Ovis aries: one gene and its partners. The protein of the gene in region 7 purifies or fractionates together with the protein of the main gene of each other region. This does not show direct contact. Links are inferred from orthologs where the notes say so. Each region holds a gene or a part of one and is shown on either strand. Other genes may lie near its edges. The genes, in order: MLST8, FBXW7, TUBB, FLNA, YWHAE, PRR5L and RICTOR.

The links.
Region 1: the proteins of RICTOR (region 7) and MLST8 purify together in Homo sapiens (affinity purification with western blotting; 14 studies listed by BioGRID and IntAct, with this or other methods). This does not show direct contact. The link is inferred for Ovis aries from reciprocal best matches to the Homo sapiens genes RICTOR and MLST8.
Region 2: the proteins of RICTOR (region 7) and FBXW7 purify together in Homo sapiens (affinity purification with western blotting; 3 studies listed by BioGRID, with this or other methods). This does not show direct contact. The link is inferred for Ovis aries from reciprocal best matches to the Homo sapiens genes RICTOR and FBXW7.
Region 3: the proteins of RICTOR (region 7) and TUBB purify together in Homo sapiens (affinity purification with mass spectrometry; 3 studies listed by BioGRID and IntAct, with this or other methods). This does not show direct contact. The link is inferred for Ovis aries from reciprocal best matches to the Homo sapiens genes RICTOR and TUBB.
Region 4: the proteins of RICTOR (region 7) and FLNA purify together in Homo sapiens (affinity purification with mass spectrometry; 3 studies listed by BioGRID and IntAct, with this or other methods). This does not show direct contact. The link is inferred for Ovis aries from reciprocal best matches to the Homo sapiens genes RICTOR and FLNA.
Region 5: the proteins of RICTOR (region 7) and YWHAE purify together in Homo sapiens (affinity purification with mass spectrometry; 4 studies listed by BioGRID and IntAct, with this or other methods). This does not show direct contact. The link is inferred for Ovis aries from reciprocal best matches to the Homo sapiens genes RICTOR and YWHAE.
Region 6: the proteins of RICTOR (region 7) and PRR5L purify together in Homo sapiens (affinity purification with western blotting; 3 studies listed by BioGRID and IntAct, with this or other methods). This does not show direct contact. The link is inferred for Ovis aries from reciprocal best matches to the Homo sapiens genes RICTOR and PRR5L.

The regions. Positions count from the first base shown.
Region 1 is NC_056077.1:2,254,256-2,258,490, reverse strand, and holds the start of MLST8 (target of rapamycin complex subunit LST8), read right to left. Parts: upstream 2,801-4,235; 5' UTR 2,760-2,800; intron 2,240-2,759; 5' UTR 2,167-2,239; coding exon 2,038-2,166; intron 1,910-2,037; coding exon 1,858-1,909; intron 1,779-1,857; coding exon 1,616-1,778; intron 1,316-1,615; coding exon 1,240-1,315; intron 1,155-1,239; coding exon 1,002-1,154; intron 134-1,001; coding exon 9-133; intron 1-8.
Region 2 is NC_056070.1:5,397,794-5,401,870, reverse strand, and holds the start of FBXW7 (F-box/WD repeat-containing protein 7), read right to left. Parts: upstream 2,801-4,077; 5' UTR 2,169-2,800; intron 1-2,168. UniProt on the Homo sapiens protein: Substrate recognition component of a SCF (SKP1-CUL1-F-box protein) E3 ubiquitin-protein ligase complex which mediates the ubiquitination and subsequent proteasomal degradation of target proteins.
Region 3 is NC_056073.1:27,415,843-27,419,816, forward strand, and holds the start of TUBB (tubulin beta chain), read right to left. Parts: upstream 2,801-3,974; 5' UTR 2,634-2,800; coding exon 2,577-2,633; intron 1,203-2,576; coding exon 1,094-1,202; intron 838-1,093; coding exon 727-837; intron 447-726; coding exon 1-446. UniProt on the Homo sapiens protein: Tubulin is the major constituent of microtubules, a cylinder consisting of laterally associated linear protofilaments composed of alpha- and beta-tubulin heterodimers.
Region 4 is NC_056080.1:80,094,839-80,098,338, forward strand, and holds part of FLNA (filamin-A), read left to right. Parts: intron 1-1,537; coding exon 1,538-1,785; intron 1,786-1,892; coding exon 1,893-1,988; intron 1,989-2,172; coding exon 2,173-2,275; intron 2,276-2,364; coding exon 2,365-2,505; intron 2,506-2,611; coding exon 2,612-2,740; intron 2,741-2,920; coding exon 2,921-3,094; intron 3,095-3,196; coding exon 3,197-3,358; intron 3,359-3,456; coding exon 3,457-3,500. UniProt on the Homo sapiens protein: Promotes orthogonal branching of actin filaments and links actin filaments to membrane glycoproteins. Anchors various transmembrane proteins to the actin cytoskeleton and serves as a scaffold for a wide range of cytoplasmic signaling proteins.
Region 5 is NC_056064.1:22,439,095-22,443,339, forward strand, and holds the start of YWHAE (14-3-3 protein epsilon), read right to left. Parts: upstream 2,801-4,245; 5' UTR 2,691-2,800; coding exon 2,627-2,690; intron 1-2,626. UniProt on the Homo sapiens protein: Adapter protein implicated in the regulation of a large spectrum of both general and specialized signaling pathways. Binds to a large number of partners, usually by recognition of a phosphoserine or phosphothreonine motif.
Region 6 is NC_056068.1:65,580,331-65,584,555, reverse strand, and holds the start of PRR5L (proline-rich protein 5-like), read right to left. Parts: upstream 2,801-4,225; 5' UTR 2,663-2,800; intron 1-2,662. UniProt on the Homo sapiens protein: Associates with the mTORC2 complex that regulates cellular processes including survival and organization of the cytoskeleton.
Region 7 is NC_056069.1:35,534,399-35,538,614, reverse strand, and holds the start of RICTOR (rapamycin-insensitive companion of mTOR), read right to left. Parts: upstream 2,801-4,216; 5' UTR 2,779-2,800; coding exon 2,730-2,778; intron 2,559-2,729; coding exon 2,511-2,558; intron 1-2,510. UniProt on the Homo sapiens protein: Component of the mechanistic target of rapamycin complex 2 (mTORC2), which transduces signals from growth factors to pathways involved in proliferation, cytoskeletal organization, lipogenesis and anabolic output.

The DNA of each region.
Region 1 (4,235 bases), on a different chromosome or scaffold from region 7:
GCACACACGTGGAGTCGGGGCTGAAGCGGCACTGCAGGGCATAGCGGGTGTGCGCCGGGATCTTGGTCTTGGGGATGAGCTGTGTCACCTCATCGCCAATGCCTCCGGTCAAGTTCCAGACATAGCAGTTCCCCTGCCAGGGAGGAGGGAAGTCACAGGAGGCCGGGGCCTCCAGTCTGATGGGTCGGGGAGGATACCCAGCAGCAAGGCCTAGATCCAGGGGCTGCCACCCAGCACTGCGGCTACGCACAAGGACCTGGGGGCCGGGGATATGTGACAAGGAGCACCTGGGAGACCCGGCCCTGAGCAAGGGCCACGCCTGATGGGCTGAGGGCAGGAGGTCATGCCTGGCCTTCCTGAAGGATGCGCCTGGCCTTCCTGAAGGATGCGCCTGGCCAACAGGAATGTGCAGAACAAGACAGGATGAGGGCAGCCAGACACAGGGAACTTCAGGGCAAAGGCTTGGGAGTGGACAGTTTGGAGATGTCGAGGGATAACTGATTCGCTGAGATCAAATGGACATTAAAGGGAGAAAAGGAGGCTGGATAGGAGCCCAGGGGTCAGATGGCAGGGTCCTGAGGCCCTGGTAAGGAGCCCGGGGCATCTCAGTGTTAACCTAGGAGAAGGAGGTGGTCAGGCTGCTCCTGCTGAAGGACAGGGAGATGTCACAGGGGAAGGAAGTCAGAGAGGCTCCAGCCACTGTCAGGAGAGAGGAGGGAAACTGGAACCAAGAGGAGAGAGGGAAGTGGACAACTGGAAAGAATGGAGGTGGAGAGGCCCCGTCTGCCGCATGGGCCATGGCCGGCGGCGAGAGGCTGCACTGGGCATGACCCCCAGGGTTCTGGCTCTAGGGGCTAGGTCAGAGCTGGAGCCCCGGCTGGGGAAGCAGGACTCGGGAGGAGAGGGGAGAGGCCACAGGGACACATGGGGCATGAGCCCACCTGCAGGAACAGGGTTCTAAAGAACAGGGCACCGAGCTGCACCCTCTCCCCGGGGCTCACAGTGCTATTGACAGCAGCCATGTAGCTGGCGTCTGGGTCGATGTGGGCGGACGTGATGGAGACCTCTGGCTCCGGGATCAGCTGCTCATTGTGGTCGGTTTTCAAGTCCCAGATGTGGATGGCGCCACTTTGGTCACCCACGATGAGCTCCGCCTGAGGAGGTGTCAGGGAGGTGAGGCCGGGCAGCACCCCTGCCCTCCAGAGCCCCAGGATGCCCAGCCTCAGGCGGCCCCCTCACCTGGTTGGGGTGCAGGCACACACAGTTAATCGGCGCATTCACCTGGAAGATTCGCTGACACTGCAGGTTCCGGGACCTTCGAGATGGGGGGACACACCCCGTCCGTGGTGCGTGGCCGTCGGTGCCCCCCTCCTCCCCGAGAGACCCTTTCCTTTGCTCTTTGGTACAGCTCATTCCAGACCCCTCTGTGGGATCAGGCTAGGGATCTGCTCGGGGTGGGGGGGAGGGGGTCTTTGTGGGTCTGCCTCCCTGCCCTACCTGCTTTCCTCACCTGCCTTCAAGAAGTCACCTGCATAGACAGTCTCCTGGGCTGGCCCTCACCCTACCCACCTGGGCAGCAAGCTGCTCCCCACCCACCCACCCCCCGTGCCCACACCTGAGGTCCCAGATGCGGGCGGTGCAGTCCTCCCCGCCCGTGTACATCCAGCGCCCATCCTCGTGGAAGCCCACCGACGCGACGTTCTTGTTGACCCCATCGTAACTGATGATGGGGTTGGGGTTATTGGAGTTGAGGTCATACATGCGAATGTGCTGGTAACCTAGGAGCAGAGACCAAACAAGTGAGGCTGTGCCGACGGACCTAGGAGAAACCAGGGGTTGGGGTGGAGGGCAGGGTACCTGCAGCTGCAATCATGGTGCGGTCGGGTGTGATCTCCAGCGCGTTCACCTGCTGGGTCTGTTAAGGAGGGTGACCAACAGGGGCCTCCAAGGCCTCCACCCCGGCGGGTTCAGGGCCGCGTCCTTCCCACCGGGCATCCTGTCCGGCACCACCCGCCCCATCGCCCCAGCGGAGGATACGGAGTCCTGGTGCTGCACAGTTCGCGTACAGATCCCGCTGTGGGCCTGCCAGAACCGCACCGTGTGGTCATAGCCTGCAGTGGCCAAGATGACGGGGTCACTGCCCACTGTGCCTGGAGACGTATTCATGGTGTGGCTGCCGAAGGGCTCCGAGCGACACAGGGCACTAGGTCTGACCCGCAGGGGCCAGAGATCAGAGCATCTAGAGCAGAGATAGGGAGTGCAGTGTTTAGAGAATACCCTACGTCCTAAGTACGTTACAGCAGATTACTCGGTGCTGGGGAATAATGAAATCATCCCCATTTTAGACACGGAGAAAACCGAGGCGCGGAGAGGTTCAGGGCAACCGGCAAGGGACAGCTCCGCGCTCCGAGCCGCTGCCTCCGTCCCCCGCCCCGAGAGCCGCCGCCGGAACGCCCTCCCACCAGCGGCCTGCAGGGGGCAGTCGCGCCGCGGGCGCCGCGGTACCGCAGGGGCGGGCCGCGCGTGCGCAGGACTGCGCACTGGCCCGCGAGCAAAGCCTGAGCGCGGCGACCGCGCGTGCGTAGTGGGCCTGCGGCGGGCCCTGTGGGGCGGCGTGGCGGAGCTCCCTGGCTGGACCCTCGAGCTTCCCTGCGCTCCGCCGACCGCCCTGACTCTGTCCCGCGGAGCCAGCGCCCCCCGGGCGCGCTCTCCCGGCCCCTGGATGTCGCCTTCCAGCCCTCGTCCCGCGCCCCCCGTACCTTTCAGGCGGCTCCCCGCTCCGCCGCGGCCCAGGACGGCTAGCGGAGCCGGAGCAGGTCGATAAAGGCAGAGCATCGAGTTATCGATGGGCTAGTAGGGCGACACCAAGGGGCGCGAGGGAAGGGGGTGGCGGGGACGAGACTGAAGCCCTGGGGTAGAAGGCTCCTGTCTCCTGGCAAGAAGCGGTACAGGCCCCGGGACGAAAGCAGCGACCCCAGCCTTTTCCCCTCTCGGGGACCCCACCCTCCCGAGAGCGGTTCCCTAGGCTGGATGGTACCATCCTCCTCCCCCCCCCCCCATCCGTCTGGTGCCCACTAGGATTCCCAGGTAATTTACAGGACATCCAGTTGCATTTGATTTCAGGTAAGCAACGTGTTTTGTTGAGTACAGCCTAAATATTGCACGGGATATACTTATACTAAAAAGTTCTACGTTGCTTGCGTGAAATTCAAGTGTGGTTAGGTGTCCTGTAGTTTTATTTGCTACATCAGGCAACCCCTAGTCTGGGCCCTGTCAGGCCTGTGCAGACCCATCGGACCCTCAGGTCCCTTCACTAATCCCAGTGACCCGTCCATTACTGGGGTCCCTCGCGGCTTCTCTTCCATCCAGCCTTCCCACATTCTACACACGTGGCCTCAGAAAAAAAATAAAAAGAATCTTGCGACAGCCTCTCCCAGGGCATCTTCCCACCAGGCTTCTAAATTGAGCTGCACCCCTTTTCCTTCCTCTGGCCCCTTGACCAAGGCCATGTCCCCTGCCTATCCACCCAGGCCCTGGTCCCGGCAACCTTCCTCCCTGAATCTTCCCTCTTTCCTTCCTGTCAGCGTTTCTTTTTCTTGTCTTTCTTTAATTTTTTGTCTGTGCACCATGTGGCATGCGGGATCTTAGTTCCCCGACCAGGGATTGAACCTGTGTCCACTGCAGTGGAAGCACCAAGCCTGAACCCCTGGACTGCCAGGGAAGTCCCTCCCTCAGCATTTCCACACCATCCTTCCAGACGGCACCCTTTCAGAAATCCAGCCTCACTTCTCACTAGCAGCTTGACTCGCTGTCAGCTGTCATGTTTTACTCCCAGCTCTCCAGTGAGAGTTTCACAAGGTCACTGGCCATCTCACACTGCCAAACGCAGCACATACTTTTCTCATGCATCTTGCTACGTCTGTCTACACAGTGGCTGACAGCACTGCTCCTAGAAAGCTCCTGTGACTGTTGCTAGCTTCTTACCCCCCGCTTTCATTCTCTTTCTCTGCCTTCCCCTCAAGGCTGGCAGCCTCCAGAGATCCTGTGTCCACCCTGTCCCTGGGGCTCCTGCCCACTCTCCAGGGATTTCAGTACCTTCCTTGCTCCGGGTCCTTCCTTCCCTGTCTCCAGCTCACAGCCAGCTCCCTGTTTGACATTGTCCATCAAGGGCCCCACAGACCCCTCTGCTTCCCATGGCCAAGACAGTTCATGATAGACCTGCCCCTAAAGGCTTT
Region 2 (4,077 bases), on a different chromosome or scaffold from region 7:
ATGCTCCCCCGCCATCAAAAAAACATGAAAAACATTAATATCACCTAAAACCTGCTTAAGAAATTTCATCCTTCCTCCTAACTTCAACTTGCTTCCAGGTCAAGTATTATAATACCTCACACTGGAATGAGTACATTGATTTCTTTTTAGTGGACATTTTAGAAGCATGCTTAAGGAACCTTAAAAATGTTCGAGTATAAACTGATTAAAGTCATCAAGTAGATCAGTGACAGGAGTCTGATTAAATCCAAGTCTTTTAATGGTTGATCTAGAGCTCTAATAAAAGGCAGTTCCACTAGGGTTAGAACCTCACCAACTGAATTACCTATTTATTTCACATGAAATACTGCTGAATTACAAAGCACACTTCTCTCCTATCTGTTATCACCAATCTTCTAAAAAAGTAGTCAACACTTTCGGTATTGACTTCCTTCCCTCCTATTTAAATGTACACCACTTCAGTGAAACTTATATCAATGACTGATTTGTTGGTAATCTACCATTCAACATTTCAATATATATGAAATTTCAACATTATCTTTGATGAAATCTCATATGATATTCACACCCTTATCCTCATGTTATCAGTGTTCATAGAGGTTTTGGGGGGGAGGGGGCAGGGGGCAATAAACTTGTTACCATTGAATAATAAAAGATTATAAACTCTAGTGTTTAAATTATATTACCATCTTCTATAATTAAACTTTTAAGTATCTGGACTTAGGAAAAGTGCAGAGTGATACTGGAAATATTTTCATCTTTCAAGGGCAAGTATTTAAGTACATTACAAAGAAAAGCTGCCTTCCCAGGGAGGTCTGACTATAATATACAATGGCAATTTTATGCTCAATTTCTTCTATAGCAAATTACTAACACTGATTAATTAATGTAAATGTTTTAGATGTGGTTGAAAGAAATAGCATCTCTATCATGGCAAAAACAAATACATGGTTAAATAATGTAAATTAGGGAAGGAAAGAGAATTCAGCACTTTTATATATCAAGTTCTGTACAAAATACTTCATATGTTAGATAGTTAAACAAGTAGAGGAGTTGGTGAGGAATGTAGAGAGGGGAGATAATTTTCCTTCCTCATGTAAAGCCCTAAGCAGAACTTTAAAGTCGTCAAAATCTTAGGCACCAGTTTCTGAAAGTCTTTTACAGAACACTAGTTCTATTTTAAGCTTTAGTCTTATACTTCTATATTTATAATCAATTGTTTTAAAATGCATAAAAGATGAAAATAAAGATTATTAAACTATAATCACTGAAAATTCATAATCGTGGATAACAGGTTTTTAAATACTTATATTCTTAAACACTACTTTAAAATAGCGTCTATGTTTCCATCAACATTCCTTAGAATTGGTCCAACTCGATTTTCTAAATGTTGTTACATCTATGAGAACACTAAGAAAGCAGAAGACCAGAAAAGAATAGACAGCTCTAACAAACCCCCAGTACAAGGACTCACCACAATGCCAGTATCACAATTATAGCTAGAGTTTGAAGCTGGTGAAATGTACATATGTGAAGAATATTCTGTTTCACTTAGATGACACAGGTTAACATAAATTGTTATAGTTTAGAGATGTGTTCTCACGATCAACACCAAAGTATGTTGATACATATGTTGACGCTCAACTAGGAGTAGGGAGCAGAGATTATATTTCATCATATTCAAGGCTACTTTTGATGAATTGATGGATGAAATAACACCTAATCTCTAACATTTCATGGGGGCACTCAAACTAAGTATAAAATTTACTGAGCTCACCCAAAACTTAAAGCACAGGAAAGAAAAAAGAAAAATTCACTATTCATTTTTAAAAAGACATGCTGCTGCTTTAAGTGGCCAGCAGTCTCCCAGCAACTCCGGGCTGCAATCACAACATCCATTAGAGAGCTCTACTGCTCAGAGCGAGCAAGCAAGTGGTTGTCAGTGCAGCTAGTAAATCACCTGATCCTATTACAAAATCAATTACTGCAGTGCATTTCCATTGCTACACAATCTGATGATGACAAAATGATATTGGATAGCTACTGCAAGGTCAAGAAAACTGCGAAGAACATCTTTAATTGATCTTTTATTTTTAATTATTTGGTCCTAGTTATAAGGCATCAATTTTAATTGCATATTTTTATTTGAAATAAATCTATGTAGTTACCTTTGGTTGTCTAGGACATTCGGTGGATAATCTCTGCAACTGGTCTGATGTATGGCTACCAGAGAACAGATCGGAGCAGCAGGTCGAACGGCTCAACCTCTTCATTAAGGAAGAAACAACGCTGCAGCCACAGCCACACATTGACTTGTTCATCAGACAAGAATTTAACTTAAAAATTCAGAACTAGTAATGTCCCATGTATACTCAAAACTGGCTAACTGCCTCATTCTGCAGCCCTCAGGCTGAAAGAAACACTGTTAAAAAAAAAGAATAAAACAATAGCTTCCCTACAGAAGATACCAGCCACAAACTCATTGTCAAGAAGAACTCAATATTAAAAACAGAAGTCTCCCGGCTACTCCTTAGAAAGAAGGTAAGGTGCTTTAATATTTCAAACTATTTTATATTAAAGCCCAAGTACTTAATAAAGGAGCAAACTCAAGATAAAATATCCCCAAATTATACTAACCACTCTTTCTGTCTTCCATCAGTTTAGATCTGTTTGCCTACTCCTCCGGCTCAGCCTATCCAACCTGTTCCCTCTGTAAATGCCCACTGTCTCAACAACCAACAGGAATGAGCCCCACCCTTGCTTGTCCCCATACACTCAGTTCAAGAACCGCTCAATATCTGGAAAAGAACTGCTGCTGCATTGCTTTGAGAAACAACAGGGAGCAAATTACTGGACGGATTCTTTAACTTACCAATCAGAACTGCTGACCCTTTCTGACTCTACAATTCAGGAAGCCTGCCAAACGCTCAAAGTAAGAATAACAGCTGATTTTACTTCTATATTGTAGATTAATTTATAGGATTGTTTTCAATCTTGTTATTCAATCTAAAAGAAAAAAGACATAGGCATAACTATTTTTTAAACAAAATTTAGACAGTAGCTAATAATAATCTCTGAGTATGGCTTGAAGAGAGCAGGATGGTGGTTGATAGCCAAAGTAAAAAAATTCCTTCTCAATACTGCACTTGAACTTGAGAATTACGGAGCAATAAAATACTATATCAAAGACAGTCGTGTCGATAAGGATAGAGCAACTAAGAAAGAGAATCCAAGGAGGTCCCTGCCATCATAAATGTCAGAAGAGTTAAAATGAGAAGGAAAGGGTGGGTGACTTTATAGACAGGTATTGATAATAGATGATAAGCCACCAAAAACCTGGTTGCTTTGATACTAAATCTTCTCCCACCTGTTTATCTGCATCTCATTAAAAAGATTGAAAAAACACAAACCACCCTGAAAACATAAACACTGTTAAGTATGTTAGCCATCCTCTAGGATTTTTTGCCAATAATATATAAAGATATATATATATATATATACACACATCATGTTATTATAATCCACCTTATAATTTCCAGGAGAAGAGAGGGTTACATTGATAAAAAATTATAGTTTCTTCCCAAACAATTAGACTTCAAAACAAATGTAACTTCATGAACATTCATAGACCCACAATTATCAGTCTTTGTTAACAGCATTCTTTTTGAGGAAGAAGTCTAAGAACTAAAAAAAATATCTTGTATTAAAAATGTATTTTAAAATTGTAAAATGTATTTAAAATTTTTTTAATGTTTTTAAAAAAGCATTAAAAAACTTCCTATTTTCTGTAGGTTCTTTATTTGCGTATGTCTCATGCTCAGTTTCTTTGGTTTAAATCTAAAAAGAGCTAGCATCGCCTCTTCCTTCACCTTGCACTGCCCTTTTGAAATTCATGTAAACTTAAATCAATTTCCAGAATGTCGAAAACCAGGCATGCACTTCACACTGCATCTTTACAAAACCTTTTGTAGATAAAGGCTGTGAAAACAAACAAGCAAATAATGCAGTAACCTTTTACTCGCCTGCTGGAGGTACTGTCTGCTGCACAGAATTTTAAATCCTCATCTGCAGATGCAA
Region 3 (3,974 bases), on a different chromosome or scaffold from region 7:
GCGGAGGCAAGTGGTGACTCCACTCATGGTGGCCGAGACGAGGTGGTTCAGGTCTCCGTAGGTTGGTGTGGTCAGCTTGAGGGTGCGGAAACATATGTCGTAAAGGGCCTCGTTGTCAATGCAGTAGGTTTCATCAGTGTTCTCCACCAGCTGATGGACGGAGAGGGTGGCATTGTAGGGCTCAACCACAGTGTCGGACACTTTGGGTGAGGGCACCACGCTGAAGGTGTTCATGATTCGGTCAGGATACTCTTCACGGATCTTGCTAATGAGCAAGGTGCCCATTCCGGAGCCAGTACCCCCACCCAGTGAGTGGGTCAGCTGGAAGCCCTGCAGGCAGTCACAGCTCTCGGCCTCCTTCCGAACCACATCCAGGACCGAGTCAACCAGCTCGGCTCCCTCTGTATAGTGGCCCTTGGCCCAGTTGTTGCCTGCCCCGGACTGACCTGTGATGGGGTTAAAAGGCAAACTTGTTCAGTCAAGTTTGAAAGATACACAACCCCATTTCTACCTTTCAACTTTTGGATTAAGGCCAGTGGATTTATCTTCCTTCTTACTCCCCGATGATACATCTGCCCCTATATAATTTGCTATCTAAATTACTACCACCACTCTCCATTAGATTTAAAAACACAAGTCTGTATAAACTCAAGTACAATCATTTCTAACTCTCACTGCACCCAAATAACTCGATTAGCACTATCTATTGATATTTCCCTAACTCACCAAAAACAAAGTTGTCTGGTCTGAAGATCTGACCAAAAGGACCTGAGCGAACAGAGTCCATGGTTCCGGGTTCTAGATCCACCAAGATAGCACGAGGGACATATTTGCCACCTAGAAGAAATAAAGTAGAAGAGTGAAAACTGGAAGACATAGAGATAAATAAATTGGGGCCAAGAGAGCCGGGGACCCATATGTGTGATTTCAGACACTGCCACCAGGTGGCAGCAGAGACACTGGGAAAAGCGAGAAAGGTCTCCAGTGAGTGTAGATAGATTCATTCAAAGGGGGTAAAAGGTGTCCCGGGGAGGCAGAGACCCCAAAGAAGTGGGAGAGATGGGACCCCTGCTTCCCGGGCTCTTGCCCTCACCTGTGGCTTCATTGTAGTACACGGAGATGCGGTCCAGTTGTAGGTCGCTGTCCCCATGATAGGTGCCGGTGGGGTCGATGCCATGTTCATCACTGATTACCTCCCAGAACTGCCAGGGAAGAGCAAAGAGTCTTCAGCATCTCAGGGTGCAGCCAATTATGCTCCCCTACTGCCATTTTAGCTCCAGATTCGCCTGTGGCGGGCCCTCCCCAAAGATCTAGCATTTCTTCTGCCTGCCACACCCTTCCCCTAGCCACATGCACCTTCGGGGAAAAGGCAGCTTTCACTGCCTGGGACGTGAGATGCTGTGTGGCTTAAAGGGTCCGGGGATTGCGCGGGGTGGGTAGATGGAGGTAGTCACCCTGGGCACAAAGAGACGGGGCGGGGAGGGGTGCAAAGAAAAGGAGGCACTGCAGCAGCCCACCCCGCCCTGCACGTGACCGCGGCGCACGCACGCGCCAGGCGGCCGACAAAGGGAGGTGCCGCGCGAGGGCGGGGCCGAAGGGCGAATTCCGCGCGCCAGGGGCGGGGCTTGGCTCGGGCTCGCGCGCCCCCCGCCGGCCAGCCTGGCCGCATTGTCCCAGCGCGCCAGGGGCGCCCGGGTCCCGCCCTTCTGCTACAACGTAGCAGCCGCACTTCCTCCCTGCCCCTCCCCCGCTACACTGTAACCGCGCGCAAAAAAAAAAAAAACCCTCCCCCTTGGCCTCGAAATTTCATTTCTTTGCTAGCTTTTAACCCCCTTGCTTTAAATGAGGTTTTTCTTCCTTTGTCCTATTCTCTAGCTCTGAGGAACCCCTTCAAAGAATGGACTCCCTTTCCTTCCTCGCCCTTTCTCCCTATCTGTCCACGCCCTTAAGAGTCTGTTAAGGGGAAATAAAAGGAACAAATTAGTCTAGCACATATTAGCCTTCCATGCACGAAAAACTGCGGGACCGCCCCTTGGGGATCGCGAGCGCCCGGAGATTCCTGATCATTTGTAAAGGATATCGCCCAGCCCACCTGGCTCAGCGCGCCCCTACATTTGGATCTGACCTCTCGGCAGCTGCCCGCCATCCTCGCCCCTTCCCCCCTCTGGGTTAGCCCCACGAAGCCCCGCCAAGGGGGATGCACATGGGGAAAACCTCATCCAGCTTTTGTCTCGGGCCGTTTCCGCATCTCCCTCGCTCCCCGGTCCTCGGACCGTTAGGAGATCCCCTTTCTAAGTAAAATTTTACAGAAACTCGGTTTTCCCGCCCCCTAACCCTGAAGGGTGCTTTTAACAGCTTCCCCAAAATAAGCCTGCCAAGAAAAATAATTCCTCATTTTTCAAAAGCAAATCCTAAGGTTCAAAGGTGCATTTATATATAAAAGTTTTGAGGGGCAAATCTGGACTAAGAATGGAAGATGCAAACGTTCTACAACCATCCGTCATAATATACCTGTTTGGATTTGTTTTTTTTTTCCTTAAAAATAAATACAGTCAAAAGAGGTTAAAAATCCTTACCTTGGCACCGATCTGATTGCCACACTGACCGGCCTGGATGTGCACGATTTCCCTCATTGTTAAAATTTATTCTAATCTTTTTGCTCGCCTCAAAGTATGTACGGGGCAAAAAAATAATACGGAATTAGTTTTTCTCTGCTGCTGGTCGCAGGGTGAAAAGATGGAACGGGACCCGGAGGCTGAAGCAGCGAGGTCCGAACGCGGCGGCAGGAAGGTTCTGAGAGGGAGAAAGGAGAGGGGAGGGCGCGGGAGGAAAGGCGGGCAGGGCGGGGCGCGCGTGCGCGGGGGCCGGGAGGCGGGAGAACTCTCCGCGCGCCGCGGTGGAGAGACAAAGCCTCACTAGGCTGGCCCTGATTAGTCCGTGCCGGTCCTGTATCACAAGTCCATTGGTCCTTGCTGGACGAGCGCAGTCCTGCCTGGGAGTTGTAGTTCTCTATTGTTGTCCACGCTGCAAAATGAAAGGACGAATGGGTGGGTACTGGGTCTGGGGGTTTTGGTTTAGGTGTTTTGACTGAAAAACGGCCTGGCGCTAGGGTTCCTTCCTCTATGCCTGACTCTTCTGGTATCAAAAGAGAGTAGTTTTAGCAGGGTACAGGAATTGGGAACCCTGGTGTGCCAGGCTTTGGAAGGTGGAGTGAGGGCACGCCCTGAAAGCTCCCCGCTGCGGTAGCTCTTGGGAAGACAGGACTGCTTAGCTCAGCGAAAACGGGGAGAAATGCGGCACCCTGATCTGCTATCTAACAGCTGGTCCCTGGTGACCCAACTGGCATGAACTCCAGTGAGCTCCGGCTCCCCCAGATATCTCGGGAAGGAGGAGGGCATTGCCTTCCTGCTATTTCCTTGGGAGCTTTCTAACGATAATATTTAGAAAGAAACAAAATTGCATCAAGGACTTTTCAGTATAAAAAGTAATTGTTTGGAAGGTATGTTCAAGAATAGAGAAGCAGATATGCCGGAAGTCTCCGTCCATGTGGGGAATCTGCGCCTTAGAGCAGCGTTTAACACAGTTTTGTCAAGAGGCGAACTGTGGGGTGAGATACCTGATAGGCACTTTGATGAAGTCAGTGTTTTTTCAACTCGCTGATTTCACTGAGAGGTGGTTGACCATTGCAATCTTTCAAGAACCTCGGGATTAAAATAAAAGTAGGGAGGGTGATGGGAAAAAAATGGATGAGCTCAAATCTGAGTGGCATGTTTCTTCTCAGGGATTAATTCAACTTGAGCGATATTAAATGTCCACCAAAGGAGCTAGGATGAAGGATTAGCTCACTGGTGGCTCAGGCGGTAAAGCGTCTGCCTACAATGTGGGAGACCCGGGTTCGATCCTTGGGTTGGGAAGATCCTCTGGAGAAGGAAATGGCAACCCACTCCAGTACTCTTGCCTGGAAAATCCCATGG
Region 4 (3,500 bases), on a different chromosome or scaffold from region 7:
GCCAGGGATGCCAGCAAGAGGCCACAAGCACATGGGAGCCTCTGGAGGCTGGAGGCCTGGACCTTGGCCAAGGTGGCCCTGGAGAAAGCTAGAGGATGGCAGGGGTTTGATGACTCCGTCCAGGGGGCCTTGGGGTCTGAGATGACAGGCCCGTGTCCCTGGGCCAGGGGATAGGACCTTGGGGACCAGGGGCAGGGTCAAGACTGGGGCCGAGAGAGCGGTCTTGGTTTACCTTGGCCGCCATGTGCCAGCGGAGGCAAAGAGCCCAGTTGGGGAACCGAAGTCACTTCGGTATCAGTTGCAGGGCTGGCTTGGGCTAGGCTGCTGGTGGGTGGGTGGGGCTTGAGGGGAGAACCTCAAGGGGTGGGGGGCTTCAAGGATGGAGCAGCCCAGACCTGATGAAGAGCTGGGTGCTGGGCAGGGAGCACGGGCAGTTGGGGTCAACTGAGGTTTGGGCCCAGGCCACTTACTAGATGGTGGGTCCAGGTTCCGAGCCAGGGAGAGCAGGTGTGGCTGTGTATGAGGTGAGGCCTCCCAGTTGGGGGTGGGCGGTGGGGGTCCAGGCGTAGTGTTCTGGAGCCCCGCAAAGTGGGCACCCTCAGTGGACAGTACAGTTCAGGGGCTGGCCAAGTGGCCGGCTGGGGACCCCCTTGAATTTGGCCCTGGGGTGGGTTCGGTGTTGCCAGCTGCTTCCCTGGCAGGGGCCAGGCTCCAGAAAGCACTCGCTGCCAGGCCTCACGGTCCCCAGCCCCCCGAGCCTCCATGGCTGAGCCCAGATCATAACGTCACTGTCCCTCCCCTCTGCTCTCACCGCCTCGCAGCCGTGGCTCTGGCTTGGGCCCCCTGCCTCCCTGCCCTATGGGTACTGGCCCCCCTGCTGCGCTGCACTGCCTGGGTGCTAACCCCGCTGCCTTCCTGCTTCCCTGCTCCCGGTTCCCTGCCTGCACCAAGCCATGCCCGGCTGCCCCTTCTCTGCAAGTCTCCGGTCGAGCGAGCCTTCTCAGTTGTCAGGAAACTCCGATTGCAACTTCAGGCCCCAGGGGTGGGGAACAAGTGTCACATGCCCCACGCTGCAGCAGGACTCTGCCTCACTGCGTCCGCACACGGCACTGGGGGCCAGGGCATGGCCACAGGGGTGAAGGCAGCCCGAGGCTCAGCTGTCAGTCAGAATGGTCCAGGGCACCACTGGCTGAGGCCAAGTTGGCAGGGGAGATGGCAGCAAATGCTTAGGCCCTGGCAGTGGCCTCGGGGCTTTCCAGGCCCTTCTTCTTCTCAGACTCTTGGATGCCAACCATTGGGCTTTTCCCACATGACAGGGATACCCCCCGAGACAGGACTCCCGGGCTTGAGGTGGTTCAGGGGAACCTTTCCTGCCTTCTGAGAAATCACTCACCATCCCAGCTTGGGGGGCGGGAGGCCTGGCTGTGCTTGGTGGTTGGCAGTAAGAGGCCTGGGCGGCTGACACGTGAATGGCCACGGCCTGAGCACCAAGCTCATGCCCCGGCCCCCCCTTCGGGGACCCACCCTGCCCCACCAGGTGCTGGCATCGGCCCCACCATCCAGATAGGGGAGGAGACCGTGATCACCGTGGACACCAAGGCGGCGGGCAAAGGCAAGGTCACCTGCACTGTGTGCACGCCCGACGGCTCTGAGGTGGACGTGGACGTGGTTGAGAATGAGGATGGCACCTTTGACATTTTCTACACGGCTCCCCAGCCCGGCAAATACGTCATCTGCGTGCGCTTCGGTGGTGAACATGTGCCCAACAGTCCCTTCCAAGTGACGGTCAGGAGGGACTGGGGCTGGGTGGGGGTCTGGGCAGGGACCTGGCTCGCCGCCCCCACGGGGCTCGCGGGTTTGGACAGCCTCGAGCTCTGTGCCTTGCTCTGCAGGCTCTGGCTGGAGACCAGCCCACGGCACAGCCACCATTACGGCCTCAGCAGCTGGCACCACCATATACCTACGCCCAGGGGGGCCAGCAGACCTGGGTATGGCTTGCCCTGCCGCCTCCAAGCCCCCCCCGCCCTCGGGGACACTTGGGGATGGACCAGCTGGGTGTCCCGTGAGGCCCTGTTCCACTATCTTCGAGGGAGGGACCCTGGAGCCTATCACTCGGGACTCCCTTTCCCTCCAGCTCCTCACTCAGGCCTTCTGTGTCTCCGCCCCCCGCAGGCCCCAGAAAGGCCCCTGGTGGGGGTCAATGGGCTGGATGTGAGCAGCCTGAGGCCCTTTGACCTTGTCATCCCCTTTACCATCAAGAAGGGCGAGGTCACTGGTGAGTGCAGCTGGGAAGGGGCTAGGGAGCCACAGAGGCCGGAGGGTGCCCATGGGCTGCCCTGACTCAGGCCCCCCTTTCCCCTGCAGGGGAGGTGCGGATGCCCTCAGGCAAGGTGGCACAGCCCGCCATCACTGACAACAAGGATGGCACCGTGACTGTGCGCTACGCCCCCAGTGAAGCTGGCCTGCACGAGATGGACATCCGCTATGACAACATGCACATCCCAGGTACGTCCACTCAGCATGCCAGACCACCTCCTGGGGGGGCAGGCTGTGGGACAGACTTGGGGATGACGGGAGGCCCTGGTCCATGTGGTCCCTATTCCTGCTACAGGAAGCCCCCTACAGTTCTACGTGGATTATGTCAACTGTGGCCACGTCACAGCCTATGGGCCGGGCCTCACACATGGGGTGGTGAATAAGCCTGCTATCTTCACCGTCAACACCAAGGATGCGGGCGAGGGTGAGCAGCCCCTCTCATCGTGACCTGCCTGATTGAGGCAGGATGCCGTCATCTGTTGGGGGGCTGGACACAGGAGATGCTCCCCAAACAGGGCTCCCTACCCCACCCCCAGCCTCTGCTTGCATGGTTGGTGCAGTGTCCCCGGGCACAGTTTGTACCCTCACTCACAACTCTCTCCAGGGGGCTTGTCCCTGGCCATTGAGGGCCCCTCCAAAGCAGAGATCAGCTGCACCGACAACCAGGATGGGACGTGCAGTGTCTCCTACCTGCCCGTGTTACCTGGTGACTACAGCATCCTGGTCAAGTACAACGAACAGCACATCCCAGGCAGCCCCTTCACTGCCAGGGTCACAGGTAGGGGACGGCCTGCAGCGGTGACAAAGGAGGCAGCTGGCGGTGGGGGGGGGGGCGGTCTCCCTCTCGGTGCCTGGACACACAGTGACTGACCCCTGCCAGGTGACGACTCCATGCGCATGTCCCACCTGAAGGTGGGCTCTGCAGCTGACATCCCCATCAACATCTCCGAGACGGACCTCAGCCTGCTGACTGCCACAGTGGTGCCCCCCTCAGGCCGGGAAGAACCCTGTCTGCTGAAGCGGCTGCGTAACGGCCACGTGGGTAAGAGGCTGGGCTGCAGGGCCTTCCGAGAGGGAGGGAAGCTGGGTGGGGGGTAGTTGCATATCTTTCCCTGGCTGACAGCCCCGCTCTGTGCCTAGGGATCTCGTTCGTGCCCAAGGAGACAGGAGAACACCTGGTGCAC
Region 5 (4,245 bases), on a different chromosome or scaffold from region 7:
GCAATTTCAAACTGTCCTTTTCCTGAAGGCAGCTTAGTTCGTCCTCCAGTACCATTAAATAGTCTCTATCAATCGATTCCAATTCTCCAAAAAGTGTAGTGTTAGGTTCAACATAATGTGCAAAATAAAAACATAAAGTACTGCAGAAACAAGAAGAAAAGCCAGTATTTATACCCAACTCCTCCAAACCAAATCATCAAATGTATTTTTCACCTTCCCCATACTTGATAAATTGATAACTAAAACCACGGAATCATTTTTTGTTACCACAAACAAAACTGAATTATTACACCCAATTAAGGAATGGACACAGGTACAGACTGATTCCTAATGACTGTCTTCCTCTTCCTTTCCAATGAATCCCTTCCAATTTTGTGTCTAAAAATCAAAGGAGTTCCGCTACCTGGTAGATCTTATATCCCACCTGCCCCTCACACCACCTTTTGATCCTGAAGGACACCTCTAACATTTAATCAACGTTAAGGATGTGGCTCTACAGTCCTGTGTTGAATAAGCAATTAAGCCTTTGGTCAAAAACGCTCAATACTCAATTCCAAAATATGATTTCACACTGAACTGTCACTTACTTGAAGTTACCCAAACAGTTTTTAAAACAAGTTCTTAAAAAAAAAAAGTGTAGTGTTAGGTTCAACATAATGTGCAAAACAAAAACATAAAGTCCTGCAGAAACAAGATCACCTTTCTGGCGATCACAGCAGTTTTACTCAGAGACTAAATCCCTAAAGAAGAGAAAACATTCCAATATAATTTCGAGTTTCTTCCCAAGGGCAGTGATAGATTAAGAGGTGAACTTGTTTGGGGCAAGAGGAAAAGAAAAAAACTTTCATTACAAGTACACCTACAGCTGTTTTGACTTTTAAATACCGACATAAAGACAAATCTGACCTTGAGCTGTACTTCCCCATCATATCCCCCTACGACTAACAAGAATCTTGTTCAATACAAAGAGCAATTTAAAGATTTATGAAACGAAATTTAGAGATCTTTACTGAATTTTGAGTTCGAGCTCTTTCCTAATTTTCAAATTCCCAAATCCTAATGAATGACACACATGGACTAGCCCTGAGGCTATTCACGTGACCAAAGGCATTCAAGTAAAGTCCCCACGCCAGCATTTTGAAGTGGCTTAATTCAAGATCAATGACACCTGAATCCAGACATATCTCATCCCACAACAGCATTAAAAACATAAAAACCATATATATGATTTTTTGTTTTGATAATGCTAGTTTAACGGATGTGGAGTCAATTCAAGTAACCAGGTCCAAAATGGGGGGAGGGGGACCCAAGTCGGGAGGGGCAATTTAAAAAAGCGGCAGTTTGGGACTGACCGAACAGACACAAGGGCCATCTCAATAAAGTTCTGAAAAATGACTATGGCACCTTTAAAAACAAAGGAGCAATGAAAGGAGAAAAATTGTTCAAATCTGTACATAAAACCGTTTATTAAAAATGGAGGGAACAAAACAGGATCTGCCGAGATCCCTTACGTTCTTAATAGAAAAACCCAAGTCGCTGCTGAGTACCTTGGGACTGGTAAAGATCCCCAACGAAGGAAGAACACACATTCTAAGCCAGGGGAGTCAACCGAAATAGCCACTAAAGGTTATTTGAAAACACTTTATTTTTCACCAGGTCATTCCATTTGTCATAATGCTGCGTATGAACAGGAAAGTCACCATTTTTAAATACCGGTGGACTGAGGCACAGGCATGGGAAAGGCACCGAGAGCGAGCCAGGGGCTCCTTGTTTCCTGTTCCACGTTCTACAGTTTACGGAAAATGCTAACAGAAACTTCGAGCTCTCCGGGCTAAGTCTGAGGAGAAGGAGCGTGAGGGACGTTTCTCTAGAGCTCCCTAGAAGAAAGCGAGATTGAACGGGAAACCTAAAAAACGCCACTACAAGGTGTGCCGGCCTAAGGAAAGGAAATCCGATCGTAGCATCTCAGCTGGCCTCCGCCCAAGGATGAACTGCAGTGATTCCCACTCTCTCCCTCCTCCCCCGACCCCCGGCTAAGGCTGCCCCCCACCACAAGCCCGGAGAAGCCCTCGGCTCGTAAGGGTCCTCTTTTGTGAGACTCCACAGCCGCCGCCCCACATTGGGCCTCCGGGGAAAAGCCACCGCCCCCACCCGCCATATTTCCCTGAAAGGCGCCCGCGCTCCAGCTCCCGGTTGCCACTCTCCCCCATGTGGCGGGTGTTTCTTCCTTCATCACGCCACCCAATTGTTCACCACGTCCCAAAACCGGCCCAGAAGCTCCCCTGGGGATTGCTCGCCCGGAGACAGCACCCGCCATCTCCTCCCCCTCCCCCGCCCCAGGACTCGCCCTCCCCCCCAGCCGCCATTTTACAACCAACTCCTCCACCCCATGGCCTTGGCCTCCTAGCTCTCCTGTGTTTGCAGATGGGGACGCCCAAGGGGTCAAATTCCTGGGCCTGGAGCTTCCTACCGCTCTGGGAGCCCACAGGCTATTTCCTGATTCCCGAATCCACGTCCCCGGGCCGGTCTCGGCGATGATGCCGCCATTTTGTCTCCCGCTCCCAGCCTCTGTGGGCGGCGGCAGAGGGTCCGAGAATTCCAGCCCCCCGTTGCCCCCCCAACTCACCGTCGTATCGCTCAGCCTGCTCGGCGAGCTTCGCCTGGTACACCAGATCCTCCCGATCATCCATAGCGGCAGCGGCTCCGGCAGGGTCTGCGCGACGGATGGAAGCGGATAGCGTCTCCGACTCTCAGCCTCTCGCTCCGCGTCCGGGCAGGAAAAATGGCGGCGCCTCAATCCGGGACTTCCGCCTGCGCACGCGGACAACTGCTCAGCTCTATGGCAACCGCTCCCTGGCAACTGGCGCGGGGGGCGGATCCGGGTGCTCCGCGCCCGAGGACGTTAGAAACAGCTAGCCGCCCCTCCTCCGAGAGCTCAGCGGCCGCTTGAGGCGGGAACTGCTTCTGCGGGGAGGGAGAGCGCCCCGAGGGAACGAGGGAGGCCAGGTGAGGCCGGCCTGGACCGCTCCAGAAGAACGTGAGCGGCAGAGCCTGGACTGCGGGCAGAGAAACCAGAGGCTGTGAAGGTTTTTGTAATGACAAGCCATCCTCTCTGAAACTGACTCCTCCTGTTTTCTCAGCCAAGCTCAGCCCTGGGCCTCATTCAGGGCCCTGCTGTAGCTGATAAGGGAAGGTCCAGTTTTCACACTTCACCTTCGCACTTTGCAGTCTTTTTCTGTTCCTCTCCCTTGGCCTTTTTTCCCCCATAGGCCCACCATGGGGTAGGAACAGAGAAGTTCTTAGAAAAGTCTGGTCTGGAGTCCAAGGTGCAGAAGAGTAGGGCCGAGATCAGAATGAGATCCAGAAGGCAGGAATGGGAAAGAATCCATTGGTCTGTACTGCTTCCCAGTGGATTCCTAGCACCTTGTACTGAATACAGTATGCGGTATGTTGCAAGACTAAAGCTCAGGTAATCAGAACGTAAAATGTGTGGTAAAGTCTGCAATAAATGTAGAATAAGGAGACTTCCCAGGTGGTCCAGTGGCTAAGACTCCACACTTCCTGTGCAGGGACCCCGTGTTCCATCCCTAGCCAGGGACCTAGATCCCACATAGGACAATTAAGATCAGTGGCAGCCAAATATGTTAAAAAAAATTTTTTTCTAATTGTGGAATGAAAAGGTTGAAACTAAATTATGAAGAACCTTGGATGGCAAGCTGAAAGGTTTGCACTCCAGTGGGCACAAGGAAGCTATTTTTTGATGATTTTGCATGGAGGATGACACCATAATTATTTTTTAAGATGATTATTAAATATTGTATAGCAGTGATTAAAGAACAGGATAAATTATCAGGCTATTAATACCACTGAAAGGTCATAGATGATAGCAGTGAAAATGGGAAGGAAAGGACAAATAGGAATAGTACTTCAGAGGGAAACCACAAGAGTTTGTAGCTAATCAGATGTGAAGATATTAGGAAGGGAAAAATATTAAAATTAACCTTCTACCTTCCCACCCTGAGTCATTGGGATAAGAAGTGGCAGTACCATTAACCAAAAAATAAGAGACTTAGACTTCTCTGGTGGTACAGTGGATAAGAATCCACCCACCGATGCAGGGGACAAAGGTTCAATCCCTGGTCTAGGAAGATCCCACATGCTACGGAGCAACTAAGCTCATGAGCCACAACTACTGAGCCCACGCTTTAGAGCTCATGATATGCAAGGAGAGAAGGCACCACAATG
Region 6 (4,225 bases), on a different chromosome or scaffold from region 7:
CTCCTGTTTCCAAGCACATTATAGGCAGTGTGACCTTTCAACTCAAAACATTTCAGCTTGCGTCTCCGAAAAAGAAAAAAAAAGCTGAGGGTTATTTTCCAATCTAAACTATAATACCCTAATAGCACCTACAAAAAAATGAATCATTCTCTAATAACTGAATACTTGATCTGTATCCAAACTTCCCCAATCCCTCCCTAATTTCCTTTTCTGTCTTTCTGCAAGATTGCGTTTGAATTGCTCCTTTCCTTGGGCTGCAGCTCTAAGAGGAATGGAATGTGTCCCTTTGCTCCCCTCACCCCAGCACTCAGCCCTCCTTGGTAGGAATTTGTTGTAAGAATAACCCCCATGTCCCACCTCTTCCTGCATCACCATGCCAGAACCCGGGCCCCCAGCATGGGGAGCCCAGAGTCTCAACCACTGGACCACCAGGGAAGTCCTTGTATAGATCTTTTTAAGACAATCACCAGGAAGAGTGGAGAAAGAAGCCGAGAATGTCTGATACGGCTGAATTATGCACCCCCAAATTTATATGTTGAAGCCCTGTGCCCAACCTTGAAACATAACTATTTTTGCTGATGCGGCTTTAACGTGATGATTAAGTCAAAAAGAGGCATTTAGCGCGGGCCCCAGTCCAATCTTTACAAGAGGGATTTGGACACACAAAGAGATACCAGGGTACACACACACAGAAAAGGCCACGTGAGGACAGCGAGAAGAGGCCATCTGTGAGCCACGGAGAGAGCCTCAGGGGAAATGAGCCCTGCGGACACCTTGATTTCCACCCCCCAGCCCCCAGAACTGTGAGGAAATAAATTTTTGTTGTTTAAGCCACCTAGTCTGTGCTATTTGTTTTGGCAGCCCTCGCTGACTCAGACAGACTGCTCAGATGCTGGGGACTCAGCAAAGAATCTTAGGCACCTGCTTCGAGGGACTGGCAGTTTAGAAATCCCCAAAGTTAAGGAAGGAGGACATTCTCTGTAGTATCCGCAACATCGTATCAGGAGACAAAGAAGCAGGTTTAACCCCCACCAGGCCCAGCCATTCGGGGAGGAAGACTAGTCTCCATCTGGATGCAATATTGAAGGTCTGGGTTACTGCACAGACCTCGATGTATCAGCTACTGAGCTGAACCAGTGTTGGAACTAGAAAGGTAATCAGTAGAATGAGACAGTGGACTTCCCAGGTAGTTAACAGATTTATCTCCCCGTGCACGGGGTGTGGGTTCGATCCCTGGTCTGGAAGCTAAGATCCCACAGGCCTCTTGGCCAAAATACCAGAAAATAAAACAGAAAAAATTTTGTAACAAATGAAGTCAAGACTTAAAAAAATAAAATAAAAAGGCCCATCATAACATCTAGCAGCAATATATATATGTGTGTGTGTGTGTGTGTGTGTGTGTGTGTGTGTGTGTGTGTGTATGTATATAAAGAAGAAGTCAGGGAGCTTCCCTAATTTTCATCCCATGGCAAGGAAAGAGTAGGGCAGCATATACACACAAAAAAATTAGAGGCAACAATAGACACAAATAAAGCTGGCTTCCTGAATATACCTCGTGAGTTCTGCTTATTCAGTCTGTTCACTTACTTAGCCTGTTGCTGGGCAAATAAGCAGTGGCATTCGTTGAGCAATTATTATCATTCCAAATTCCTTCCCTGTCACCACTGGGCAATTCCGTCTTCACTGAACTGGGCAAAAGCTAAGGAACAACAGGCAAACCACTGAGGAGCTTCTGCATTCCTGGAGCTGACAAGTCAAGTGCTGACGTTCTACAAAGCCAGGATCAGAGCACCACCCTCCAGAACTCGTGATCCAGAGAAGGGGACTAGCTCCCAACCAGCCGAAGGGTAAGGCAGGCTTCAGATTCACATAAGGCTCTAGAGAAAACTGAGTTCAAATCCTGACCTTTCCACCTCACAGCTGTGTGACCCTGGGCAAGATATTTTATGTCCGTGTACTTTACTTTCCTTATCTATAAAATGGAGATGATAGAAGTACCCACCCCACAGAGTTTATGTGGAATAAATAGAGCTCATTATGTGGAATAAATGAGGAAACAGATGGAAAACATTTAGAACCTCCCTGACACAGGAGTTAGCATTACACATAGTTACATATAGCTACTGTTATAGGTCAGTGCCCCTCAAAGTGAAAGCTTACAATAACCTTGGTTTGCTGTAAAGGACATCAGCCAAGAAGCGTGGTGATGCAAGCACAGATTCTAGAACCAGACTGCCCGGGTCTGAATCAAGCAAGAATGGAAAGCACACGCTATAACTGTTTGCTCTAGTTGCTAGCAATACTGTCAGATACCTATAGTCATCTGTACACATATGCAATACACAGAGTAAAAGCTTAGTTAGGGCAGCTATCACTAGAGAACTAGCCTTCCCAATAAACCCACAAAGACCCTGAAGTTGCTGGTCACCCAGAGACATCAGAGGCATTGAGTGGGCGGGTCTGACAGGAAGCATGCTTGCCTACTCAGTGGGTTGCGGAACGTGACCTCAGCAGCTTTTGCTTCTCTGTCTACCAGCAGACAGTGGCTCTCAAGCCAGCAGGGTGCCTGGAAATCAGAAACCCACCCTCCTCGGGCTGGACACTCAGCCATACCCTCCAGCCCCTATTCCACGCCAGAAGCTCTCAGCTGCTTCTGTGTTACCTGGTCTCCTTCCTTCCTGTAGGGCAGGTGAGGTACCACAGCCCTTCGGCCTCCCGAGAAGATGACATTTCGATGAGGCCCAGCTGTCCCTGGGCCTGACCGTCCACTCAGTTCCCACTGCCCTGGGCCCTGAGGACTGGCAGAGGAACAGGCGGAAAAGATAAAAAGCTGACACCCCCTGCAGGAAATAATTGTTTAGCTGATGCCAGAACTGAAAAAACAAGTGTAACGATGGAGAAGGGAGAGCAAAGTGCCATTCAAGGCCATTGTTCCAGCCTCCTCTCTGTGTACGGAGGGAACAAAGAGGCCCTGTGTGTGTGACACAATGGCGTGTGTCACCAGCCACTGCTGTGCTACTCCTGGGGACAGGAGGACGGGAAACAAGGCCACAGTGCCCTCCTGGGTCTGGCGCGTTGTGGACTTCGCTAATCACAGCCCCCAGCCTGGTCAGAGCTGGGAAAGCAACTTCTGACTCCCAGCCCACGGTGCCCTGCAGTGGGGAGCAGGGGACACCCATCAGGAGTGACCGATCGGGTCCAGGCCAGTCTTCCAGGCATAGCGAATTGCCAAGGGACCCTTCCTCTCGCTCTCCTCTTCTCTTATCAGTTTTCACAGGCTCACCACAAGTTAGAGCTGAAAAGAATCGCAGCTATCTCATCTTCAAACACTCCAACTCTTGGCTTTCATGAGGGGGCATCCGGCCCGGACTGTCGCCTGGCTGTGTCGCACGTCAGCTGCAGTTGGCGATGCCAGATGAATTAATATGTAAGAGCATCCCTGGGACCCCCTCAAAGACCAGACACTCTGTTGGGAGCAAGCTCACAAAATGAGCCTTCTGTCTGTAAATCCTGGTTCTGCCACTAACTACTCATAGATTATGAGGGTTCTTTTTTTTTTCTCCCTCTCCAAGCCTCAGTTTTCCCACCTGTTAAGCTGAGATCATCCTTGGGTTAACATGGAGATTAAATGAGTTAATAGGCATCTCCGTGATAAAGAATCCACCTGTCAATGCAGAAAATGCAGGAGATGCAGGAGACATGGGTTCGATCCCTGGGTCAGGAATATCCCCAGGAGAAGGAAAGGGCAACCCACTCCAGTATCATTGCCTGGAAAATTCCATGGACAGAAGAGCCTGTTGGGTTACAGTCCATGGGGTCGCAAAGAGTCGGACATGACTGAGCAATTAAACGACAACAATATAAAATTCACGAAACATTACTTGGCCTGTAAAAATTGCTTAAGAAGCAGGAATAACAAGTTAGATGCTCACATTACAGCTGGGATTTGCTTAGACTCACGGGAAGAAGGCATGAGGATGGCTGGAATCCCAGGGTCTGGAATACCCAAATTCAGTCTCGCTGCTCACGATGGCCTGAGGTCCCTCAGGGAAGCTGGGCGCCAATAAATACCCTCAGGGATGAGGCAGGTGGCCAACTGCGACACAACGGGAAGCAGTTGGGACAGTGGGATTCCAGCACCCAAGCCAGGATGCAGAGGCAGCCAGGGCTCAGCTCCGGGCAACCGCTGCAACGTGGAAAGGCGGCAGTAGCATGGCCATGCCTG
Region 7 (4,216 bases):
TGAAGAAACCAAAAGTTAATGAAGGTTAAATAAACTGCCTCCAATCATCCAGCTGAGTTACAACTCAAAACCATTTGACTTTATACTACACACTGATGGCTCCTCTAGGAATTACAATAACCATGGCCTCTATTTTATAATGAACTTTGTTAGACAGCTACACAATGACTTTCTCAAAGGTTACATAAAAATAATGAGAATGAGAGCAAACACTGCCTTACAGCATTTAAGAAATTTTTTCGGTTACTCAAACTTTATCTAAAACATGCCGTAATCCAATCCACAAACAGCTGCCCTTCAGCTGCAACCCAGACTGCCCCACAGTTCTCAAATGATTACAGAAGCTTAATTCCTCATGAACTTTCATGTTAGATCCACAAGCCTTCTTCTAACAATGAGTGTTTGTCAGAATAGCAATTTCTCAAACAATAGAGTCACTATACAATGAATCTAACTCAGATTATTTTTCTTATTCAAGACTTCCTTAAGATTTAAGAACAGTTCTCTCCTGTCCTCTCACTCTTAGTTGCATATTGCTTTTGCAGTTTCAGCTAGCTGTGCATACTTCATTCTAAACTGAAATACATCTTGTCCAGGAAAGCGTTTTCTGCACTTTTTGTATTGATATTATCCTAGAAACACCTATAGAGAGACGGTTACTAAACACTCAGGGAATATAGCATTCTAAATAATAAATATACAGCTATCTGTGTACTTGAGTAAAACTGGAGTAAATGAAAAGGTATCAACTCAGATTTGTACATAAGCTTTTTTACTACCCCAAATTTTGACACCAGACAAACTACTACATATAGGAGATCAGCAAAGTCAACTTAAAGCACAAGTATAATTCATTTTCTAGTACCACATTCAAACAGATTTTTAATGCACAAATTAAACCCAAGATCTATCAAATAAAGGGTCTTCTCACTTTCATCTAAAACATATATGCACATATATAAATTAAATCACTAAAACTACATCTTTTACAAAACTCAAATGCTAAATTGAGCCCTGTGGGAATCTTGCTTATTTTGTCAGGCAATTAACTAGGAAATCTTTTCCCTCACGTATTTTATACAGACTTTTCATATGTGTGTTTTAGTCAAGTTTCCAAACTGTTACACAAAAGTCAAAAGTTTTATATCTCTCTACATTAATATTCAAACCCTATCTGCTGAAAAAAGTTCTAATTTAGTGCATCAGTGACCTAATTAGTTGTCATTTTTATTATTTAAGCCCTATTTTATTTTAGAAACTCTGCAAAAGTACCTTGTTCACCCGAAACTAAGTCCCTGAACTTTTGGAATAAAATATCGTTACAAAAATTTATTGTAGCTGAATTAAAAACTAGCCTTTCAGTCCACAAAACAGTAATCTTACATTATGATATACAAAATAAAACAAATTAGAGAATGCGCTATGCTTTAGATAGATGAACCTCAACAATAAGCTCGCATCTAACAAATACTGTAAATAAGTCATTATGTCAAGTAGAACGTAGTTTTAAAGTTTTATATAGATTGTTTAAAAGGACTTTTTTTTAAAACTTCCCAAAGTGTTTTTCAGATCTCAAAAAGGAAACTGGTTCTATACAGCTGAACCAGGTTACACGCTAAGTTACAGCGGGTGTGAAACGACTTCATCGGAATCAATAGACTCAATCTTGTTTACCGTGGATGAGAAAAGAAAAACCTTGTATATAACTACCAAATCCTCGGCGAGATATTGAATAAATTCCAGTTATGGTGACTGATGAAAATAAACTGGCAGTAGCCGGATTAGATCCTTAAAAATATAACCCGGGTTTACCCAGTTCCGAAGGTGTAAACAAACCCGTCGCCACTGCAGAAGGTAAACAATGAACCTGCAGCGAGGGTGAGGGGGCGGTCTTTGCCAACTACAGTCTCAGCGGCCCGGGAAAGGGAAACAAGAGGGAAACACACACACACTTCGCAGAAATCATGGGCTCTGGGTTTCGCTACTGACTTATCAATGCTTTGGGTCCCCCAGGGCGGTGGGCAAGGAGAAAAGCATCACGCAGTCGGCAAGGACCGAGCAGGTCCGGCTTCGGCGCTGGGGGACGGGGAGGGCAGGATGTGGTCTCTCTTCCCTCAGACATCCTCTAGCAACCTAAATAACAGCCTCCACCTCCCTCCGGCCGCCCCTGGGATTCGGCTGCTTCAGCTCCGGGATAGGACGACTACGCTCCCCCCGCGGTCTAGAAAACCCAGAGGGTCGGCGACTCCGCCGAGTCCCGCTTGGTGCTCCTGGGCACCGCAGCACCCAGAGGCCCGGAAAAGGGCTTGGGGAGAGGAAAGCGGGCACCGGGAAGGGGGATGGGTCCGGGAAGACAGCCCCCGACTTGCTCCCGCGGGCCGGCAGGCGGGGCTCGGGTTCGGGCTCTGTCTCTCGTACCCGCGCAGGTCCCGTGCGGGGCCGGTCCCTGCCCGCGGCCCCCAACCCCGGCTCCTCCCCAGTAGGACGCCCTCGCCAGCGCCTTGCGTTACCTCGGGTCAGATCCAGCGGGACGTTCTCCTCGCCGCTGTCATTCCGCCCTGCGCGAAACAGACACATAGCCCCAGTTACGATTCGCTCCCAGGCCAGCGGTGGCAGCCCTGGCTCCGACCAGCGCCCCGGTTCGCTCCACCCGCCCAGGGCCCGGGGGAGGCAAGTGCCAGGGGTGGCGGTTGCCGGGCGGCCAGGGGTGAGGGCTGCAGCAGACTTACCTCGTATTCGGAGGTTCTTCAGCGAGCGGCCGCGGCCGATCGCCGCCATATTGACGGGTTTCAGTCACAACACCGGAAACCTCGCCCAATCGCGCGAGAACCCCTTCCCCTCCCCGCGCGCCGCGCCTGCCCCCCGCGGCATCTCTCCCGCCCCTCGGCATCTCTCCCGCCTCTCGGCGGCGGCTGGCGGCCGGCAGCGGGTGGTGCCGGCTCACCCGGGGCGCGGAGGGAATAGGATGCCGACTCGGGATCTCGATAGAGCTTTCGACGGAGGGTGGAAGGCGCCGCGACGTGCTCGGCCCTCCGGAGCACGTCCGCCAGGAGGGGGCATTTCCCACGAGGGGAATCCCATTGATGCGAATTTGCAGCGTGGAGGATGCTTCCCGTCCAGCCGCCGCGGAAACCGTAATCTAAACCGACGCTAGGTGGGAGGAGGCCGTGATGCGCCGGACTGGCCACCTGCTGAAACCATCCCGGATGACTGTTTTCAAGTCCTGAAATAGCCCGTCTTCCTTATTTATCAATTAAGACGATTTTATTAAAACAATACCAAAAAAAAAAAAAAACTTCACCGTTTTAATGTAACTAAATTCTGCCTAGAATCGCTTTGCTCCAACCAAGTTAACATATAACAAAAGTTTGTCCTCCGTCCTCGCTCAAACCTCCGTGCTAAGCAGCCTTGCGTTTGATTTTCAAAGCCACACGCAGCCAGGCTGGCTTCTTTAAGTGGAAGTGGTCGGGTGGAAGTTCTGTTTTTGACCGCTTGGAGCAGAACCCGAGAACAGGATGAAGAAGTCAGGGGTGCAGGGTGGTGGTCCCTGGCGGTGGGTGGGATTGTTCCCGCGCACGCGCGGGCGCCTGCAGGCCCGGGGAAAGGGTTTCCTTTCTTCCTGGAACCAAGAGTAGTGGCAGAAGCCTCCGTCCGGGTTTTCCCTCTGTGTAACTCCTGAAACAGTGGTGCAGATGTTGTGGACCAATATTTTTTATAGATGAACCTAACACTTACTAAGTGTAGAGACTTTAATCACTATATAGGCATCTGGCCACAGACCCAGCAACTTTGTTTTACAGTAGATTAACTTTGTTTTTTATTAACTTTTTATTTGGTATTGGGGCACAGCTGATTAAAAACTAGATTAACTTTAAAGAGAGGGGTGACTGTTTCGTCTCTTCCTATTCCTCAACGCTTTCCTTTCTGTTCTATAAGACTGGAGGTTGATTAACAGGAGATATCTTGCTGTCTTTTCCCAGCTACCCGTTAATGCATTGTCCATAATAAATAAGTGTTCAATAAATAATGAATTATCTGAATAAATGCCCTAGATTCCTTGTTTCAACGCTCTTTTTGCTGTTTTTAAAAAAAGCTATTTGTACATACCAATTGCAGTCGTTAATAATAAAGAACAATGGGAAAAAATAAAAGTAGGAATTATGCAGATTATTGCAGCATTTGAAAATGATGCAGGTCTAGTGTATTTGTAGGAAAT